Schizosaccharomyces pombe: one gene and its partners. Changing the gene in region 1 together with any one later gene gives a genetic interaction. Each region holds a gene or a part of one and is shown in the gene's direction. Other genes may lie near its edges.

Region 1 (4,148 bases):
TCTTGCGAACTACAATATATGCGGTATCTTTAAATAACAATGTAATATTTATTGTTATAAAAAGTCTATTAGTATTATTGTACACCGATATTGCTAATGACTGAACTTAGGGACGAGGTTTAGTTGTAGCTCTATTTATAATCTTTCTAATGCTTACTATTAACGTGTATCTATGTAGATACACAGATAGTTTATCAGCGTTTATCAATAACGAATCTTAAGTAGTATCTTAACGTATGAATAGTTGTCAGCAATACTACACTACGTTGCGCATCACTATATGTCATATGTTGGAATACTAGCTAAGATCCGTTTATTGATAATCACGGGAAACTATCCGTCTATATAAATAAATACCCGTTGATAACAACTATTTAGAAATATTATAAATAGCGTTACAACTGAACCTCGTTCCTCAGTTCGGTTATGAGCTATATTAGTGATAGGTAACATTATAACCCAGTTAATACAATACCTATACTCAGTTGCTACTCATCAACCTGTGTATTGTAATATAATAGATCACAAGGAAAACTCTCCGCAGTTCTACGGATCCTTAATCAGATACCAAACTGCGTAGCTTACAATAGTGATACCATCGTAAAATATCATAGCGTAGTGTAATATTGCTGACAAAATACCACTATGCTAACAATGCTACATTACTTTCGGAAACCAACTATAGTCATCTGTTAGTATATCAGCTAAAATCCGTTCGTTGATAATTGCCTAACCAAATCCATTCGTTTACATAGGTGCCAGTTGGTAACAACTACTAGAAAGTTAGAAATCGGACTATAACTGAACCTCGTACTTAATTTAGTTATTGGCTATTGCAAACATGAGTTACAAAAAAATTCCTATAATTTTTTTTTAATTTATACATCCTGCTTATCGCTTGCTTACAAGATTACATACAAGTTTTAAGTCAACCCAGTGTAACCTAACGTTAAACTGATTACACTTGGTTGTAACGAACAGCATAACGTAGTCAATGTGTTGCGATAATAGACCTTAGTACGTAGATAATAGTTGTTTGCTGATAATTTGATTGTAAAATTATAACCATGCTGTAAAAATCTAATAGCAAACCTATAAATTATAGGTTACACTTACGCCATAGTGGATTGCTTGACTATGAATATACTTGCTTCAAAATGAGTGAATGATGAAAGTTACAAAATCTAACGATTCGCTTAGTCAGTCTTTCGATACAATGTTCCTTTGTCGAAGCTTGGGTGTTTTAACTGCTAATATTTCATAGAAAAATACAGTAATGACCGGAATATCTAATTCTTATAAAATCCTCTGAGTTTAAAGTTCATTGAGAAAATTCATTATTCAGTCATAGGATAATACAAAATTAAAACACCGTATAGTAGCAGGAGGGTTAACATCGCAAGTTTTTTGTTTTCAACCCTATCCATACTAATCTATTGCAGTGTCATTTTGCGAGTACATATATATATTTGAGAAATTTATCTTGAACCGCTGGATATTTGGTATGTTCTGTGAAGAAAACACGAAACTGTGAAGTATGGATTCCTGTCATATTTAGAGAGACAGAATTATTATTTACAATACATTTAAATACTTGAGTATATGGTTTGGTATCAATTTGATTTAAACTAAATTTCAAGGACCCTCAATTCTTCCTTTTACTTCAATGTATCGAAACATAATGCATTTAAAATTTGTTAACAGCTAGAAATATGCGAAATATCTTCTAAAAAAAAGGATGATGTAAATTCATGTTAGTAAAACATAAGAGGATGAACATTCCATGAATAAACTCGATAAGATGATATTATTATGCAGTCTTTAACGCTGCTTGCTACAGCACTAATTATTTTGATAAGGACAGTCACGATTCAGTGTCCTGCTAACGTTTGATATGAAGTTGATCGTTATTTCATTTACTTCAAATGAATAACACAATTTATATTTTGGGAGCAGGTAGTATCGGTAGTCTGTTAGCATATGAATTAGCTAGTTTAAAATCAATAAATAATCGGGTGATATTATTATTAAGAGACAAATCGAGAGTCAACTCATTCAAGGATAAAAATTCAACCTTGAAGATTGACCGCTTGTTTGAAGAAAATGTGCCTCATCTGTGTTGCCAAGTTACTGCATCAGAACCCTCCCAATTGAATGTGCAATCGATAGAAAATATGATCGTAACAACTAAAGCGGGGCAAACAGAAAACGCTTTATCAAAATATTTACCATATTTAAGTAAAAACTCGAACATACTGTTTGTACAAAACGGTATGGGGGCAGTCGAAAATGTTTGTGGCAAGTTGTGGCCGGAAGAACAAAATAAGCCTTCCATATATCAAGGAGTAATCTCACATGGGTGTTTTCAAACAGCCCCGTTCCATTTCAGTCACGCAGGTTTAGGGGATTTAAAAATATCCAAAGTCCCAAAGAATCCCAAGAAGATTTTACCTGATGAAGCAGCTGAAACGCCATGCGAAATGATAAAGTCATTAGGCAAATCAGAACTTCTACGATTACGTTATATGAATTACCCAGAGCTTTTAGTTAACCAGTGCGAAAAGCTTGTAATAAATGCCTGTATTAATCCAACAACTGCAACTTTGGATTGTGTTAATGGGGAGCTCTACAATGATGAATCTGCCAAGGAGCTTTTTCGTTGTATAATAAAAGAATGTGTGGACATATTTTTCAAGTGTATTCCTCTTTTTAAAAACAATGAGGAAGCTGAAAAAATTTTAAACGTGAATCGACTATTAGATCGTGTGATGTTTGTTGGAACAAAAGTAAATGGTGCCAACAGTTCATCTACCAGGCAAGATTGTCTTCTTCTAAGAGAGACAGAGATTGATGCTATAAATGGTTATGTTGTCAAGTTAGCTGAGAATAATGGATTTCAAGCGACTGTTAATAAAACAATGATGTTGCTTACTAAGTCTCGATTGGGTTTAAATAGATGTCGAGCGCATGCACGATAATTTATCATACTTATTAGGTGCAAGCTTTATGACTAGTATTCTGGTCGAACCTAATAATTCGTATAAATCTTCGGTCCATTGACATTATTTCGTTTGTACCAAGGTTGCAATGAATGCATACTGTTTATTAAACTAAAAGTTTTGATTTACAGATGGAATTTTATATTATCACAATCAATTGTTCAGTAGTCATTATCAAACCATATGGTTAAGATTAATTCAACACTATTTACGCTCTCTGAACCATTTAGTTTGTATCAGTTCAAAGAACTTTTGTATGTTTTCCAATATACGATTCAGTTTACAAACGGAGCAATTGTTATCATAGGGTTCATAAGCTATACTCTCAAGCATGGGTGGTAAGTTAGTAAGATGTCATATATACAATTAATTGCAATACACCAGCACATATTCGGAAATGAGGATACACCTTTTGTAGTGTGACTATACTTAATTGTACAAATTGCATAATTTAAGCTTTCATTTATTAGCAGTAACCAATCTACTTATTGTTCAATGGTAAACAGTCTGAGCTTTAAGAAACAGCATTTACGAACATTAGGAGCTGGAAAGATATGAATCTTTCAGATAGAAAATAAAACTACAACAAGTTATACGAAAATAAAATAAAATAAACTATAAAAGCTAAACGATTTTCTACATCAATCGCTACCACCTGAGTTATTGCGAAACCCAAGGAAGTAATATTCTAGCTGCTTAATTATATATTAGTCAATTATGCAATTTAGTAAGTAGTTATCGTTCTCTCAACAATCAAGTTATCATCTTCTTAAATTCATTAACTTTGCTGTAACGGGAAAATTACACTGCGTTTGAACCCATGAAAACCGACGTAAAACAACATAATAAAAATGCTTATATTTAAAAAAAAAAAAATACAATTGCCGAAGTGTTGTTAAAAAATGAATGGTAAATGACCTCGACACTAGTCCTCTGTAATAACACTGTAAGTAAAAAACCAATAAGCTTGTCATGGATTACTGTTTTAATATTAATTTTAAAGCCATTTTATATACATATGTCTTGTTCATAATCCAGCGGTATAAAATTTAAATTATGAAACATAGATTTTACTGTCATCTTAATAACTATCTGATAAGAATTTTATAGCTACACAAGATTTCCTAAAAGGGAACATTAATGTTTAAA
Region 2 (6,869 bases), on another chromosome or scaffold:
CAGCAACAGTGTTCCAGAAGCCGCTTATGGTTCAGCACCTCCATCCACCTTTGCCAGCAGTGCTATTTCTGAAGAGGCGAAGAATGCTTGCAAGGGCGATGCTAAAATGTTTGCAGATTGTATAAATGAGCATGAGTTCAGTCAATGTTCTTACTATTTGGAACAGCTAAAGGCTTGTCAGGCCATGTGGTCCAACCAACAATAAGAGGCAATGAACTAATTTATTTATTTTTCTATTAAATAAAAGTTATGCCCAGTTTGTTTGCATCAGCATCAGCATCGAAATTTTTTTTTTCATGTTTCTACTAACGAGAACGTTGAACCCTAATAGCATTTGTTAAGCAGTAAATAATAACTGGTTTCCCTGGTATAAGACATAGTATAAGAACGAGAAGAAATAAATCATATATGGTATTTTTTTTGTTTGGTTTAGTAATGAAGTTCTTTTTTTTTAAAATGGCCCAGTAATAAAAAAGTTCACGAAGAACGTAGTTAGAAAGCTTGATAAATAAATTAAATGAAATCTATGCTCTTTAGAAAGTTCTATGATCTGGCTTGGAGAAGAGTAGTACATAACAGTATGGTAATGTAGTTAGAGCTTCTCTTAACATGCGTACGTTTTCATACCTCTTAATAGTAGGGATGGTTCAGTTCATACAGCTACCTAGTTCACCCCATCAATCAATCAATCAATCGATACAGTCACTCTTCAAAGCATTTTGAGAGTTCTCCCACAGATTTTATGCTAGCTGGAGTTCCGACTTGTTTATTAAAGTAGGAAGGTTGGAAGCGAACCATATCTAACAAACTTTTTTCAAAACGAAAATTAAAAGCAAATTAAACTTTCATTGTCTTACGTCCCATGTTAGGGGGGGGAAGCAGCTAAACAATGATGATTTATAGATGGTTGCCTCGGCTATTATTTACTTTGTTTCATATCTGAAAGAAGAGTAAGGGATAGGATACGCCAAAGATCCACCATAAAACGGTTTATCAACAAAAGGATCATCATCGAATTTGGTTTATGAGTCTTTCAAATGTACTCGTGTTTGTTAGTTTAACATACTATTGCATCCACTAGAGATAGTTAAGAGAAGCTGATTTACAAATGATCGGTTTCGACATGTCTGCCAAGTTATACTTTTAACGTATTACCAAGAAAAAAAAATTTACGGGACGGGGATTCCATTCTTGCTGCTTTGGTTTATACTGTAAGCATAACAGCAATCTTAAATTGAATCGTCTTTGCCAAGCGCATTTGTAAGAGTATTGTATGCTATGCCACGCAGTGCATTTTCATATCCAACGCTACATACAATTTGTTGTTACTCTTTCTGTAGACCATTTCGGAACGTTGATTGAAGATCGGAAAATTTAATGTTTCGTCCAGAAATTGTCTGCATATGTAGTATCACAGAGAGTGTCAAGTCATATCTGACAGCATCAGGTTAATGAGCTTAATTTGGGCCAAAGGCGAGCTAGAAAAGAAGAAGAAAAAAAGAAAAAGTAAACAGTAAAGAAAAACATATAACGACTCTTATTCATCCTTCCTCAGCATTCCCTTTTTCATATTTTTATCCCATTCTAATCCTAGTCTAAGAAATGCTGGCGATATAGACCGAGTCTACTGGTGTCTGGAAAGGAACATAGCTATATCTATATATAGATATAGATATAGATATGTATGTATGCTTGTATTTCGTTGGCAGTTTTCTAGTTTAACTAGCAAAATACAAGAATTAAAATTAGTATTAGTATTATTATTATTATTTTTAAACATTTAAACATCGACTAATTTTTTCAACATCTGTTTTCACTTTCAAGTATCGACTACTTTCTACATTCCAACGATCCATTCTTTATTATAGATTCACCCTTTTCCTCGATAAATAAGCACCATTACACATACTTAAAATTTTTGTTTCAAAGGGAAGCTAAACTGTACGACGATGTTTATCGTTATACTCAGCTGTCACTTATCCAGAACTCACTCCATCAGAGTGCGTGCATTTAGCTTGCTCCCTGCACATCCCACTACAAAGTGTTAGAGATAGGCAATCGGAGTTAGAATACCGAGACTTTATTCCAAGGTAAAAACACATCTAGAAATGGGGACAAACAAAGAAACAAAAGGTCATGTGAATGTTAGATTCAAGGGGTAGAGTTCGATATCTCAGCAAGCGATTCCTTTTTTTTTTTTTTTTTTTTTTTTTGAGAAAACCTCGGTACACGCTAAGCTGGCTTTTCCTATTGTTACTCCTTTTACTACTAGTATTATACTATTGCTTTGCTTTGTTGAATAAACAGTCTATAGAACGCTCAAGAAAATACGACGAAAATAGTTTATTCATAGCTTGACAAACTAACTACCTTTGTTTTGTTTTGTTTTTTTCTTTTCTTTTTTTTTTCGTTTCTTAGCTTGGCTATAGCTTGCGTATTCTGTCTTTGTCAGTCATTAATCCAGACAGTAATATAACATATTCACCTTGTTCTTTTAAAGGTCTCCCTTTTTTTCTTTGTTGCTCATCTAGATTGTGCTTAATTTTTTTTTTGTATACTAATCAAAATTCAATTTATTTTTCTTTAGTTATTTATTTGTTTTTTTTTTCGCTTTATTGGATCCTATTGTAAAAAATCATCTTTTTCATTGTGCTTGCAATTTACCTTTCTTTGACGATTACGCCTTTGTTCACGACTTTTAGCATTCTTCCTTTTTCTATCTCCATGGGGCCGTTGTTAACTTACTCCTAAAATTTGTAGTTGCTTATCTTCACAACCAAAGGATGCTTCGGTGCAGCACCCAATTTTTAGCCCATTACCCTGTGCCCAATTCTCAATGTCTCATCATTTGTCAATACTAGCTTGTTCCTTATACTCCCTGTAACCCACTATCTAAGACATTGTGGAGAGGGAAATGTTGGCAGTAGTGATATACTTCCGAATGGACAATTGCCTATCAATCGTGGTAAAGGAGAATGGCTAGAATTTAGTAAAATGATATGGCCCAAATAGAACGGTAAAATTACTAAAAGATTGAGGATTTGAGGCAGCGTCTTGGTCGTTTGACTAATTATTAGAGTGTAAGCAGGATTCGGATGTATTGCTCCTTTAGTTAATCATATCGTCTGGTTTTGCTCCCTAATGTCCCTTGTCCTCTTTTATGCCGCCTACATTACCGATGAAGAACACGTGTTGAAATCCCCGAGTTTGCAAGTAGTCTTGATATACAATGTCTTTTCCTCGTATATTCCGAGCAGATCTAAACCTTCGTCGTGAATAACCCCCTTCTTTGCTTTCACCTAAATCAATTGCTATTCGAGGGTTTTCGATTCTCTCCTTTCTCCATTAACATACTAAATTCAATTTCTCTTTGTGTGGGTTGCTTCCTTTTTGCTGAGACGTCTCCCCGTCTTCCATCCTGTCTTTATCAGTTTTGTTGCATTTCTGATCACCCATTTTTTCTTTTTTTCCTTTTCTTTTGTTATCTATCGAATACCTCCACATTGCTTGAAATACTAGTGAGACTGCGTTTACCTTCTCTTCTCATCTGATTCTGTCTGTGCCATTGAGCTTTCCTTCGCTCTCCTCTTGCACCTTTTGTTGCGTTTACTGGCTTCTTTATTTTTATTTGTTTTCTTTTTCACCTCAAACTTTCTCTGTGTTCAGCTTTTCGAGATATTCAACTGCAATTGTACTGCTCTTTGATTCTTTCACCTTTTTCAATTCGAACTTGCTACTCCCTCAAGCTTATCCAATTATTTTTTAGCTTCCACTTGAGAAGAGTTCTCTCTATCCATCACCCAAAAACTGAAATTTCATCTTTGTGAAATTTCTTTCACGGTCTGATCACCGTGCAAGCTATTTCTATTCCCCATTTTACTTTTCTCATCATCTGACTCTTATTCTGGAAATACTCGTTTCCCCCACTCAAATATATATTTATTCTTTGGGCTTTCCTTAGACTATTGTTAGACTGCAAAGTCTCGTTTGGTTTACCTACTGTCTATCTCTGGTTTTGGTTTTTCATTTTCCATTTCTGTTTCAGCTGGTTTCTCAAAATCTTCATCCTTTCTTTCTTTCTTTCTTTTGACTCGTCATTTTTAAGAGCCATTCCATTTCTTTCTTATTTATACGTGTATAATCTCTATTTTATCTTTGCATTTTTGCACTAAATTACCATACGCTTGCGTTTTTTTCTTTCCCTATTTCTGCAATTTTATTACCTGAGTAAAAGTTTTCCCATTCGTTTTTTCCTATCCCTTCTTTGATCAATTTTATTTATCTTTTCTTTTGACCAAATTTTTTCTCTGGGGTTTTTTTTAAACTTTGTTTTGAAGGAAATTTTAAATTAATTAACTTTTAACTTTTTCAGTTGAAATACTTTTCATTCTTTTTTCTACGCAGCTTTTGGATTGCTGTTGACACATCATCTCATAACTATCTATTGTATTCCATATAATCGACTGATACGACCTCCATCCCACTTTGGCGCAGGCATCTCGTATAAAGTTTTGTCTTTTTAATTTGATATCAATCCGGCATCCTTGTTTCATGCCCCTTTATAGATCCTTTCTCATTCCAAACTTTTTTTTTAAACACATTATTTAAAAATGGTTGTTTCCTCTCCGTCTGTATCTTTATTGCATTCTCCTGTCGAAAAATTATCAGCCCAACTCGAAAAAACAACGCTTTTACAAGACATTCCCCCAGGTTCTTTATCCGAAAATGATAATTCCACTACCTTTATAAAGCCTCCTTTGGAAACTGCATCATCAAGCACCCCTATCCCAAGTTCCTCTTCCAGTGGAGTATTAAATCCGTCGTCTGTCCGTGGAAAACCAGTTGCCTGTTTATTTGTTGCTAGCTTAAACTCTTCAAGGTCTGAGGAAGAGCTGACTGCCACTGTTAAAGATTACTTTCAACAGTGGGGTCCTTTGTTGCATGTCAAAGTTTTGAAAGATTGGTTGCAAAGGCCTTATTCTTTTGTTCAATTTCAAAATACTGATGATGCATCGAAAGCACTTTCTGAAGCCCAAAACACGATATTGGATGGCCGTCATATACGTATAGAGCGCGCCAAAGTTAATAGGACAATCCGTATATCCTCTGCACCCCATCAACCTTACATTACAAAAAAAGACATAGATAACTTATTGGAACCTTATGGCGAGGTTGAAGATGTCACGGAAATACCAGATCAATCCGCTTTCTTAGTACGGTTTGTTTACAGGGATGAAGCAATCGCAGCCTATACCGCGCTTAAGCATTCTGCCTGGCCTGTACTTTGGGCGGAAAATGTGACATATCAAAACGGTCACTATAAGAAGAAAGGTTCCTCCCCGTTTTCTCCACCTAACGCACATAGTCGAAGGCGAAAGTCGCAAGGCAAAGATCAGTCGAACACTCCTGTTATCAAAGCACCTGCCCCTATTCCATTCTCAGTTTCTTCCGATCCTCCTTCTACCATGGGAAGATCAAATTCCGCGGTTCAAAGTCCCTCATACTTTGCTCACTCATTGGTCAATTCTACTGAATTCAGTACTCCTAATGAATCTTTAAGCTCCTTACCGAGTATATTACCTTCAATACCCTCTTTAGAAAGCGGCAAGGCCGAACTCCCAACAGATGGTTCTTTTGAACAGCCTGGATATCCCATGAACCCCTCTATGATGTTTGCTGCAATGCCTCCACCGATTGATCCTTATTCTATATTCGTTGGCCAACTCGACCCAGTAAATTGCACACACTACTTACTAGTTGATCTATTTTCCAAATATGGAAAGGTAATCGATTGTAAAATAATTCATCAAAGCAAGAAGCCTGCTTTTGCTTTTCTAAGGTTTGATTCTCAACAAGCCGCTTATGCTGCCGTCTGCGGTAAGACGAGGTCCCCACACCAGAAAAAGCCTTTGCGTGTTGAATTTCGTCAACTAAGACCAATGCAGCAATTTTCCCCTCAATATCAATATCCCTCCTATCCATATCCGATGTTTCCAGCGCCATTTTCACCACCTCGTAATGCAATGATGCCAATCCCTGCACCCATGGATCAGTTTTCAACATTTCACCAGTCAATGGCTACCCTTCCTCCTGGTGCCGTTCCCACATCAATTCCTCAGTCGTACTATCCCATTTATTCTCCAGAAATGGCTATGCCTCAATCGTACAGTCCGATGTATTATACGCATAACCCACCTATGGATGGGAATTAGATTTATTTTGAATTTCCCTTCATTATCTGATTGAGGTTTCACTTCTTTATACAGTCCTTAAGTGTCGGAGTTTTTTTTATTAGGTACATATTCTATAAAACACTAATAATTATCTAATTTATTTTACTTAAAAGATGCAAATTGGCTGCAATTATATTTAAAAGATTTAGAGTCATAAATGTTATTATGTTCATATATATGTCTTCTATATAATTTTACGAATTAGTGTAACTCGTAACAGTTCTCTACTTTACGCATTAACGATATAATGATATTAGATAGAAGTTTATTTATATATGCTCCCAAATATAGATGTTCTCACACATGTATCGTATACACTCTAACCATTTGATTATTTTCACTACATAAATTTTTACAAAAATACTATATAAAGTCAATTCATTTTATGAAATTTTTAATTTGAGGCTGTAATATTACGTGAACTTTTTATTTTGGCTTACTGGCGAACTGAAAAAAGAAAATTAGTTTTTTTTTTAACAGACCTCTATTTCATAGCTTTAGACTTTCTCAAAACACTAGTTTCATATAAATATTCCTTATAGACACTAAATACAAAAAAAGGTTCGTGAGGTAAAGAACCAGAAAAAGAAAAAAATTATAAAGACAGGACAAGCATAAGTTTACAAGGGACTATTA
Region 3 (6,387 bases), on another chromosome or scaffold:
GATTCTGAGCCAGACAGGCAATTGTTTGTTGGTAACGTAAGTTCAATTTCTAATCCTCTATATTCTTTTCCTCGAACTTTGGTATTTTAATGAATTGTGGAATTGCAAATAAGAAATGGTACTAACGAGTATAGTTACCGTATAACGTTCGCTGGCAAGATTTAAAGGATTTGTTTAGACAAGCTGGTTCTGTTATCCGAGCTGATATCCAAATGAACCAAGAAGGCCGATCCCGTGGCATTGGGATTGTTGTCATGAGTTCGATGAAAGAAGCCATGCATGCCATTCAAATGTTGCATAACACTGATTTCATGGGCCGCACTTTAGAAGTTCGCCTAGATCGGTTTGCACATCATAAAAGTAAGCCGTATTCCACTCATGGAAATGGCTATACGTTTCCAGCGGAAATGCAAATGACTACATCATCCACCTATCTACCCATGTTAGGTGCTAATACTCAAGTCGAGGATTTAGTTTATCATGCGTATCCCCATGGACCCTGCTCGGATTGCATTTACGTTGGAAATGTATGTATATAAGGACGCTTTTGTGGGATTAGTTTTCCGCATCATTTTAAGTTTTTTTTGGAGATTACTGACTGAATATAGTTACCTTGGGCCACCTCAGATCGCAATTTATTGGACCTATTCACAGATATTGGCTCAGTCATTCGTGCCCGAATCGCCTATGAGCCCACTGGCCGATCTAAAGGTTTCGGTGTCGTTCAATTTGAGAATGAAAATGATGCAGCATCCTCAATTGAAAAATTAAATGGTTATCGTTATGGCGGGAGACCCTTGCAATTATCATACGCTCACTATGCGACTCCACTACCTGCTGTCCCTACTGTGCTCTCGGGTCTTCCTTCAGTCGCTTATACACCACCTGTTATGCATATCCCTACAACGAATTCACCACTAACGCCCCAATCTTTTACAAATTCTTTCTTAGGCTATCTACCGATTTCAATGCCCGTTGCAAACATGCCCGCTATTGCTCCTATTTCTGTAGCTTTACCCGAAAATAATATTGAACATTCTTTGGAGCCTTCTTAAAAATTCGCCAATACATCTGAACTTCTTTTCTCTTTACAATTAAGCACATTTCCGTAGTGTGAATGGCTAGCTCAGTGACGACATGCGCAATGTTCTAAGGCAGTTATCCTAATATTGTTTGCTTTTCTCTATTTTTTCTTCAAATTTTTGCTTTAATTCCTAATCCCCAAATATTCTTATTTTCCATGTTTATAGATTTATCTCTTTTGTTTGATTTCAATTTTTTGCTAAGATCTTATTCTTTTCCGTGACACACCAAAGTATGCTGATGGCATATATATTCGTCTCTCGTTCTTCTAATTGAAGTCTTTTTAATTTTAGCTTTACTGTTTTTTTACAGGATGCCTAGTTTCCTTCTTTTACAATTGCTAACCATTTCATGGTTTTAATGATATTTTAGATTTTTAGACTTCCATTCTGTTAACTTCCAGTTAACCAAGTTTAATCTTTATTGATTAACTACATTATTTTTAAAGTAAGGTGTATTTAGGTTAAAAATCTTATTTAAGCATAATGGTAAATTTCGTATAGCGAAATGTAGGTGTTGATTGTTTCTTACCTTCTTTAGTAGCCTTATCAATGAAATACAAACATTTACTTCTATCTTATTCCCCACATTCATAAAATTGATGGTCGCATACCTGGCTGGCATATGTAAGACGACAAGCATCATACGCATGAAGTCTACCTACCGAGTCCTTTACTCATGAAAAATCCTTCAATCTGTACGTTCTTTCCGTTTGGACGTTTTTTCAAGTATTTTTCATAATAAAAAATTTAAATTTCTTTATTAAAATTATTTACATCAAACTATAAAGAGGAATGGCAACTGTAAAGAACTTGCGAATTGGCAAAAGTCCTAATCGGTTGATTCAAGATTTAGACGTCTTTGATAGTCCATCAGCTGGATGGAATGATCCTTGGAGTCCTCATAGCTCAAGATATCACTGGCAGCTTCATTCAAATTTAGGCGAGTCCGCTGTATTTGACGAGAATGACTTTTGGTGTGTTTGTCAAAAAACTCGCAAACACTTACATGTGAAAGTCCGAAGAGACAGGGGGAAGCCATTAATTGAAGAGCCTGAAGAAAATTATGGAATAAAAGATAGGATTCCTGTTTACTACGAAGAAGAGGAATTACCTGAACCTCATGTGACTAGCCCTACGAAAAGTGAATTCGCTACTACCTCTACTTGTATGAAATGGAGTAGCAAAACAACAAAAAGTGAAATTGAAGTTGAATGGAGAGATAGCTATCTTGATGCTAATTGTATCAAAGAGATAATTGATTCCCGACGTCCATCATTTGCTTCCCTTTTAACTAAAAAATCGTCATCTCATCAAGGGTCATCCCATTCATCCCAACCTTCTCTTTTTACTACATTTACTTCTTTGGAGTTGTTTTTACGAAACGTGTTGGTCCATAACGATCAACGTGCCATTAGCGCTGCCCCGGAAGGAACTTTTGAGAGACATGTCGGAAAGGGCCGCCAAATTCAATCTTTGATGAAATCTCTTCTGTTTGAATATCACCACGAAAATGTAAATTATGTCCCTACCATTGCGGACGCTCCCCTTACTGACGAACAAAAACTTAATCTATACCTTGCTAGGAATGAACTTATTGTTTTGGCTAATCACTTTCGTGACACTAAAGAAGATCCGGCTATTGTTGCTAACCCTTTTCCCGTTAGGTTGGCTCGACCTGCTTTAATTAATGCCTTTGGCGTTCCTAACTATGATAGCGTGGTTCCCATGTATACCACAGTTTTTCGCGACAATTCGGCCTCCTTACCTGATGATCCTGCTTTTATAGCCTTGGGTATCACGAATGATTATCCAGACAGCTTTGTCCGTTATTTCTATGAGGAACAAAAAAAGAACGATGAAGCTAATGTTCGTGTTTATGCGGATGCGCTTGCTCATATATACAATTTACGTAAAAGCAGCTTTTTGAGAGATCTAATTGCGGCAGATAGGAAAAATGGAATCGTGTCGAGCGATGTAATACAAGCCGCTTATTCGAGTTTAGGACTTGAAGCTGAGGTAGGCCCGGATTACAGGTATAGTCAAGAAAAAATCTTTGAGGCGTTTCATTCTGCCCTCCTAAGAAAACCTGAATTTGCCAGAGCTATTAGGAACGATTTGGAGACTATTGGCTATGCAAGAAAGAGTTCTGAAATTTTAAATTATGTTTTGTCTACAGAACAGGCTTTTTATACGGTTAATGAAGCCTACCAATGGTTGGGCATTAAGTCTAACACCGAGGACGCCATGGTAGCTTCTGTGGCCTTAGTGAAATTTGAAGATGATAGCGACAAAGCCATCGAGGCCGTCAAATGGATAGCTGAAGAGAGAAATAGCTCCATTTTGTACGATTTCTTGGCTTCACAAGGTAGACCTTCCAACAAGAAGCCTAAAGAAGTGCCTATGGATGAAGATCTAGCTTACAACACATTAGGTGTTCAAGATCGTGCACTATCAGATGACGTTTTAATCAATGTATACGGCTTTGCTGTTGAAGACCACCCAGAGCAATCAGACACTTTGAGAGCAGCTTTGAAATGTATAGGAGAAGTTAGGAATTCGCGTTTAATCACTCATTATTTAGAACATGGAAATCTAGATATTCCACCAGAAGTTTCAAGTTTGGATACTCCGATCGGTTTGGAAAATACTGGTAATCTTTGTTATTTGAATTCCCTGATCCAATACTACTTTATTATAAAACCTCTTCGTAATGCAATTTTGGATATTGATGAAAACAAAGATCTTAATATGATTGAAAACAAGGAAGCTGTCAAGAAAGTTGGTGGACGGATTGTTACTCGAATTGAATTCTTGAGGGCTTTACAATTCACTTATGAACTCCGAAAATTATTTATTGAACTCATTACTTCAAAGTCATCGTCTGTTCATCCTTCTTCAGTACTGACATATCTTGCTTTAATACCTCTTACGTTGGACCAGGTCAAATCTGGAACATCCTCGGTTATGGATTTGTCATCGTCTCGAGAGTTGAGCAATTTGAATGAGAGATCTATCACTATTGACCCCAGAGCAGAAGAGCAAGCTCAAGGGCTTGAACAAGAACAAGGACAGGATGAGGCCAAAAGTCCAGCGGAACAATCTTCATCAGTTAATTTAATTGATTTTCCCATGGCCAATACTAACGGAGAGTCTCAAACACAACCTCATTACTTTGAAGTATCTGAAGAAGAAATAAACTCCTCCATGGATTTAGGTCGTCAACAAGATGTCTTGGAATGTATTGATCACGTTTTGTTTCAACTGGAAGCTTCACTTGGTCGTATTTCCAACTCAGAAGATCGTCTTGGCTCTGATAATGATCTTATACGACGTTTGTTTTCTGGCAAACTAAAACAAACACTAAATGATGCTAGTCAAGGAGTACGGTCTAACTATGAGATTTTTTCTCACTTGATCGTTGACCTTTTCGAGGAGAAACAAACATTGTATGATGCATTGGATGGTGTTTTTGAAACAGTCAATATTGATATGGGAAGCGAAACTGCCCAACGATCCTTGTGTATTACTGAGCTACCGATAATTTTGCAATTACAAATACAGCGTGTCCAATTTGACAGGACTACTGGACAGCCTTTCAAGTCTAATGCATTTGTTGAATTTGGAAAAGAACTTTCCATGGACAGATATGTTGAAGATACTGATGGGAAAATGGCACCTTTACTACAAAGGTACTGGGATCTAAAGCGTGAAATTATCAACCTTCAAAAACGACAACAGCTATTGTTAACTACAAATTCGAATCTAATGTCATCTGTTGATACATTGTCTATTCTATCTAAATGGGCTGCACAGCAGCAGGATTCGAGACTTCCTATTAATCCAAAACTTCCTGATATCCTTCAAGAGGAAATAAACAATGTTGTCGCTGAAGTGGATATGCTTAAAAAACAGGAAGCCAGCTTAAAAGAAGAAAGGACGCATCTTTTCGATAATTACATCAGCCATAGCTACGACTTGCTTGCTGTATTTGTGCATCGTGGACAGGCTTCATTCGGTCATTATTGGACTTACATTCATGATTTCGAAAACAATGTGTATCGAAAATATAATGATGAATATGTTACTGTGGTAGATGAAAGCGAAATTTTTGCTGATACTACGGGCAACAATGCTAACCCTTACATGCTTACGGTAAGTCGTTATTATTTCCCATTTGAGGGAAATAATCATTTTCTCAAATTTTTTCCAGTTTACATATAGCTAACATTTATCTAGTACATTAGGAAAGAGTATCGACACATAATTGAATGTGTTCACCGTGAACACAATCTTCTGCTTTAAAAACTATGTGAAGGGTAAAAACTAGGATGGATCATCCGTGATCAATTGCTATGAATGGAGGTTGGAAGTTGTAACGTTTTTCACGATATTAAAGCATGGAAGCTATGAATTCATATTTCAAAAATCTATTTATACATAAAAATTTAGTTATACTTTATACATCGGTACGGGTTAATAATCTATTAGTCTTTACTATAAAGAGAAAATTTTTCTATGACAAAATTGCAAAAAGTCTAGCAAAAAAATTGAAATGTAAACAAACGGCTTTTATTATTAAAATGGCGATTATCGCAAATTTTATTATAAGTAGTAATCTTTGACAAAAAATGTAATTAATAGATGAAACTAGTAGAAGTTTCCAATAAATAAGTCAATAAATCACTATAGAAGTACCATGGAAAAAACATAAAAGTAGCTGTAGAATCAATAGCAGGTTTTAAGGTAATTTGAACGAGCTTTGTACAAAAATACATCAACAGTGCCGTGAATGTGCCAAGTTATTCATCAAAGAGAGCGAAAAGTAAAATGATGCGTCGTAAAAAAAATCAGGTAGGGCAAGATTAACTAATAAACTAGGTATTTAAAACAAGGATCATCCGCCCATAAACCGAAATAGAAAAAGAGAACATGTTTAAAGAAAAAATGAAAACTATAAGGGAAATAAAATCTTAACACATAAACGAAAAAGTAAGGAGCCGATTATTTTGTAAAGTATACGGCCGCAACTAAAAGAACCTATAGATCGTGACTAAACCACTTCTTCCGGAGACGTTTCACCAGGTGAGTCTGTCCGACTAATGGCATTCTTCATACGGCGTATTCTGATGAACCCAAAGGTGTCTACTAGTACCAAGCACCACCCGATTATAATGAGAATAGAGCCTATAAGCTTCTGATGTGGTAACTCGTCGTAATTGTATTGATCGTCGTTATTCTCCATCCCACTCTCCGAAATCATTATGTAGCCACGTTGAAAAAGAGTTAAACTAAGTCCAATTTG
Region 4 (5,526 bases), 1.3 Mb from region 1:
AATCGTAAGGTATATTTTGTTTAGTCAAGGTTAATTTCATTTAATACCCGATAAGATTAAAATCTAATCACAACAAAGGTGTAAGCTACAAAAGAACTTTTTAATAAGAAACAAACATTATAATTCCATTTAAATATACCTAATTTCGTGGTTACTATTCAATATGAAACCACAACATACCTGTCTTTTGTAAGGCCATGTTGCAAGTCTTCTAAAAAAATATAAAGAATAAAAAGACACATGGAAAAGACCATTCCATATCAAATAAGTAACGTTTACAAAAATATGCTATAACCAAGATAAATAGCACAGTTGTTTGATAAACTTATTATTAAGCTTAGTTTTTCTCCAATGAGCACAGCAATAAATATTCATTGTTCTTAGAATCATAGTAGCCCAACGGACCTTTTTCACAATCAGCACAAGCAAGTAATTTATAATTATTTGCTAAGGGTTTTGATACGCTAACGTTGTCGAAAGCAAACGGATCTTTTAGAAGAAAAAAATCGTCAGTTTCTAGATCTTCTTGTGTTTCAGAATGCAGCATAGCTGACATTGTTGGCCTCTTAACAACATCTGGACGTTTGTTATTAAATACGACTGAAGGGCAATGTTGACAAACAATTCGCAAATTCGACATAATTTAGGAAAACAATATGGTGGTAGTTAGTTAGTAGTAAGCGCCAATCAGCGTTTTTTGTGGATATAACCTATTAAAAAAATAAAAATACAAGAGAAAACTTTTAAAAGTTTAAATGCTAATTACAAGTTCTTCAAATTTAATTCAATACATGTAGCATTCATTTCCAAAATAGGTACTGACGTGTCTAGTGCAATGAAGATATGGAAAACAATGTTTTGCATTTTGACGATAGAAGCAAATCAATAATTAGACGCTGAAAACTTCTTTTTTTTTGACATGCTATTTGGTTTCATAAATTAACATGGCCTGGTTTTCACTATATTTAAACTTCACCACATAATTAGTAAGTTATTATAAAAGAAAACGCAAAAAATTTTTATTTGCTCGTCTAATGTGTTCTTGAATATTGTCTTTCTCTTAATGTTAAACGAGACATATCAGTTCGCCTGATGCATTGGTTCATATAGTAGTTATTTTCAAATTTAGAAATTCGGACACATAATTCTTCTATCCTTCTATGTTAAATACAGAACCTTTTTCTTTCTACTCAATTTGCTTTCCGTGTTGCAACCTTGACACATACTAAAACTTTGTACACAGTGGTTTTTGAACTTTCTTCTAGTAACTAAAATTTTAGAAGTACGGCATTGAAAGAAATATTGTAATCAAACTTTGAATGTGTGCAGACTGCAAAATTGGGAAATTAGCTTGGCACTTGCAATTTTCAATGTAAATGTGTAGGAATCGTGTGCCATCCCTTCAATTGTCTAATATTTTAATTGAAATCTATAGAACTACGCTATTTTTGCTCGAATTATTGCTACTATGATTACTTTGTCTAAATCCTTAATAAAAAGAAGTATTCTTGATTAGCTCCGTGAACTTCTCGATTCAGTTATGTGACAAAGAATATTATTAGCTTCCAAATATTGAAATATTATTATTTTATTAACTAAATGAGTTTCTAAGCCAAGTCAATTTATCAATCATCGTTATTGTTATTGTTGAAATAATACAAAAAATATAACGCATGCTATTGATTCTTAACCAAATGTATTAATCACCTAAAATTTGTCAACCACTAACTGATATGATTAGACTAAGCTCAACTTCAACTTATACTCTCTTTATAGCAATATTTAAGTTGCATGAACATCCGACGTTATTAAATATTTTAGTATGAAGATAATATTATAGCTATTCACTAAAAAAATATTTCATAACTGAAACTAGTGCCTCATTTCATTTAAATTTCTAATTATAGGACCTCAAAAAATAAAACAACGTTTTACTGTATGGTTAATACTATGGAACCAGAAATGTGTCAAATTAAGGGCATACTTAATGAAGGAGGATAATTGGCAGCTTAACGTATCATAACGTATACCCTTATTACTGTTAGTAAAATACTCACAACCCAACATCGTAATCGATTTTTCGGCTCTATGACATATTGTCACTAAAATAGAGGATCCGCTTTCACGAGGTGGAGATTTCTATCTCATCTCGTACACTCATATTTTGGCAAACGTCCAAAATTGGAGCAATTCGGAGCATTTGATACGAAAGGATATTTGACACGATTGTGTATCACTATTACAAATCTTAATATTTTTATGCAATATTAGTATCTCGTTGTGCATTTCTCTCGTTTCTGACAGCATCCAGTATTGAGTTTGTATCTTTTGCTTCCTATACTGTAATACCTATTTCTATAATTATTTCTGTCTTAGACTTAAGACTTTATTTTTGGTTGTAAAGGATTGTGAATTTAGAGCACCACACTTTCTTTCTTTCTTTTTTTTGTGCTTCGGAATCGTGCCTTGTCGTAACACTAGTGCGAGAATCCAAGGTCGGACAATTTTTTTTTTGTCCTTTGAGTACTATTATTATTAATTCTTTTCAAATCTTTGAATTTTGCAAAATACTTCATTCTTTTTGGTCCGCATACTGACAATCTATGTTTGTGTAAGTCCGGAGTATAGTAGTATTCACTATTACTATTATTTTCCCTTAATTGGTTTTCTCTTTTAATCATTATTATTATTGGCATTGCCATTATCTAACGGTGCTTTAATTTTTGTTTTATTATTCAATTTGTCTGAACATCTTCCTCATGAATTTTAATTCTACTAACCCTTATTATTTTACTCATGAAAAAAACCTTAACAATGCTTCTAAGTACTCTGAACTCCCAATTGCTTATCAGGAAATTCCTTTGCAATCTTTACCACCTTATCCCAAGGTTGCTTCAAAGTTGAAGGGCGTAGTTGCAGGCGGAAAAGAAAATAACATTGCATCTTTTCAAAAACCTTCTTCAAAAGCCACTCGACCATATATACCTTCTTATACTAGATTGACTTATTCTGTTCCTCCTCTTCCCATACCTCCTCCTTCGGAGCAATCTTTGGATACTATTATATATCGAAACCCTTCTGTATCTTCTTCTCAGTCTCAAGAACCGGAGGAGTTTTTCTTACCCCTAGATGATGGAAAGAAACCTCCTTATTCCTATGCTATGTTAATTGGAATGTCAATAATCCGTTCTCCCGATCGTCGTCTCACTTTAAGTGCTATATATGATTGGATCAGCAATACTTTTTCTTTCTATAATAAGTCCAATAACGGTTGGCAAAATTCCATCCGCCATAATTTAAGTCTAAATAAGGCATTCATGAAAATTGAACGTCCTAGAAATTTACCGGGGAAGGGTCATTTTTGGAGCATTCGTCCTGGTCATGAAGAACAATTTCTAAAACTAAAGCTGCGTAAACCAGGAGTAAATTCAAGACCAGCGCCTCCTGTTCAAGACGTTACCTCCTCTACAAAATATGGATCTTCTACCGGTTCCTCTGGATTTAACACGTTTAATACTTCTCCCCATATATTTAATCAGCGACATCAATATCTTCAGAATTATTATACTGCATCCTTAACGAACATTCCGACGATCTCTAATGTTAATGCCACAAATTTTCATCCTCTTCATAGTCAACAACCCTATGTAGATACCCCTGGTATCGATGCACCTTCTGATTTGGAAGCTAAGTTTTCCGATTTGGGTGTTTCCTCTGTCGTATCTGTAACTTCTCCTTTACAATCATGTACAAATTCTCCATCTCCTCCTTTGTCATCACCAGCATCCAGTGCTTCTCCATCTGAATCACTTAGGAATGAATCTTTGGGAATAAAGTCAGCTAAATCATTGGGTTTGAATAAAGATGATGCACCAGTAGAAGGTCCACCTGTATCACATTTGGAGAAGGATGTTGAAACCCCTTCAGTTCATGATTCCGTGTTGGGTTTTAATGACACTGTAACGAATCTCGGCAAGAAAGGTTTAAAAGATGGTACAACTAATACCCTACAGATCCCTGCAGTCCGTTTACCTTCTTTACCTAGCTCGCCTACCATAAAAAATCCCAGTGGACTTTTGCTAAAGCGATCAAATTCTATTGATTTTCCAACCCCCCCGAAGGCCTTGTGTCCTAAATTGTTTTGCTTTCGTGATGACATCGTGGCTGATGACTACACTAAGTTTTCTTTACTTTCACCCATCCGTTCTGATATGAGTGGTATCTCAGCAAGTCCGAATACAAATTTGAAGGAGCATCGAACTCGTATCTTGCAAATGCTGGCTACACCTGATGCAAAGCAATTATCATCTTTAACATCATCTGATGCAGAGTTTTGGTCAGTCACGCCTTTGAAGTCTTCAATTCTACGTAATGGAGATGCATCTAAACAAGTAACGCTATCTGAAAGTCCTAAAGGTGATAGCTTACTTGATGGAGGATCATTATCTTATTTTACCAATAACATTAGTTCCGTTGCCGGCTTAGAAACACCAAGCAAGCTACCCATGAGCAAGTCGTTTGATACCTTTGAAGATGATTTTTTGGATCCCATGGATATGTTGAGTTTTGAAAATCACTTTTCCGACTTTAATAGCAATCGAAAAGTGTCTCCTGTTAAACGTGAGGTGCGTAGAAAATATATTTCTTCAGCAACTACTATTCATTCTTCAGCCGCGCAAGATGATACTTACTTGCCTTCTCCTACCAAGAGGAAAATGCCACTTCTTCGTCAAACTTCAACACTATTCTAAATTTGTTTTAGCACTTATCTACTTTTTATCCATGCTTTATTTAATGTGATATTTCTTCGTTCTAGTTAAAGACTGCTATGGGAATTCCTAATTTTACACATATCTTTTACCTTGGTTGCTTAATAAACTTTCAAACCCCCGATGTTACTTGTTCATTTGCGTGCGCAATTTTTTTAAATTTACGAAAGCTTTTAATTTATATCCGGCGAATTGTTCTCCCAGTTGCATATCTAATAGTCACATTAGCAATATAAAGCTTTATGAATATTTCGTAAACATAGTATACGCTTATAGCGTTTAGAAGTTTATCTCTTGTGTTATGTAAGAGTTGTAGATTAAACGTAATTTTATTTGTGGTAACCTATCTAAAACTTATATGACAAGTATTAGTTCCAAAACCCAATTTATTTATTTTATATATTTTTGTAACAAGTAGCCAATAAAGGTTTAATTTCCAAAATCTTTTATTTTGTCAAAACACACATTTTTCTAAAATTATTCCCCAACCGCAATAAATATACCTTTTTTAGTTTGCAGGAGAATCGACTACAGGGGTGAATATGTCAAAAGAACCGGTGCCAAAGTTACCGACTCGACCAACGACTAACCGAGATGAAGGATTGGATAAGTCATCAACATCACCACGGAGGGCGGCCTCAGTCAAAAAGTGACAAGTGGTCTCAAAAGACATTTTCGCAAATGGAGAAGTGTTATATTCTATTCCCATTCTATTGAAGGCTTTGTATCCTCCCTCGAAAGTCATATAATCTGCAAT

What was found.
Region 2: mutations in pan5 (region 1) and msa1 together harm fitness less than expected from each alone (positive genetic interaction), as found in Schizosaccharomyces pombe (one large-scale study listed by BioGRID).
Region 3: mutations in pan5 (region 1) and ubp2 together harm fitness more than expected from each alone (negative genetic interaction), as found in Schizosaccharomyces pombe (one large-scale study listed by BioGRID).
Region 4: mutations in pan5 (region 1) and sep1 together harm fitness more than expected from each alone (negative genetic interaction), as found in Schizosaccharomyces pombe (one large-scale study listed by BioGRID).

What each region holds. Positions count from the first base shown.
Region 1 is NC_003423.3:4,477,940-4,482,087, reverse strand, and holds pan5 (2-dehydropantoate 2-reductase), read left to right. Parts: upstream 1-1,923; 5' UTR 1,924-1,925; coding exon 1,926-2,978; 3' UTR 2,979-3,401; downstream 3,402-4,148.
Region 2 is NC_003424.3:2,317,981-2,324,849, reverse strand, and holds msa1 (RNA-binding protein Msa1), read left to right. Parts: upstream 1-2,024; 5' UTR 2,025-4,610; coding exon 4,611-6,212; 3' UTR 6,213-6,358; downstream 6,359-6,869. Other genes in the region: mix17 (CHCH domain-containing protein), read left to right, coding at 1-205. UniProt on the Schizosaccharomyces pombe protein: Negative regulator of sexual differentiation. Acts by repressing the transcription of meiosis-inducing, ste11-regulated genes.
Region 3 is NC_003424.3:3,485,448-3,491,834, forward strand, and holds ubp2 (ubiquitin hydrolase Ubp2), read left to right. Parts: upstream 1-1,746; 5' UTR 1,747-1,877; coding exon 1,878-5,237; intron 5,238-5,321; coding exon 5,322-5,387; 3' UTR 5,388-5,652; downstream 5,653-6,387. Other genes in the region: hrb1 (RNA-binding and mRNA export factor), read left to right, coding at 1-36, 135-527, 609-1,055; bsd1 (heavy metal ion homeostasis protein), read right to left, coding at 6,136-6,387.
Region 4 is NC_003423.3:3,132,720-3,138,245, reverse strand, and holds sep1 (DNA-binding forkhead transcription factor Sep1), read left to right. Parts: upstream 1-2,141; 5' UTR 2,142-2,759; coding exon 2,760-4,751; 3' UTR 4,752-5,026; downstream 5,027-5,526. Other genes in the region: dss4 (guanyl-nucleotide exchange factor), read right to left, coding at 338-640; DNA-directed RNA polymerase I complex large subunit Nuc1, read right to left, coding at 5,278-5,526. UniProt on the Schizosaccharomyces pombe protein: Required for promoter sequence element PCB-driven, M-phase-specific transcription. Acts as a transcriptional activator with a role in the regulation of mitosis. Regulates septation and the periodic transcription of cdc15.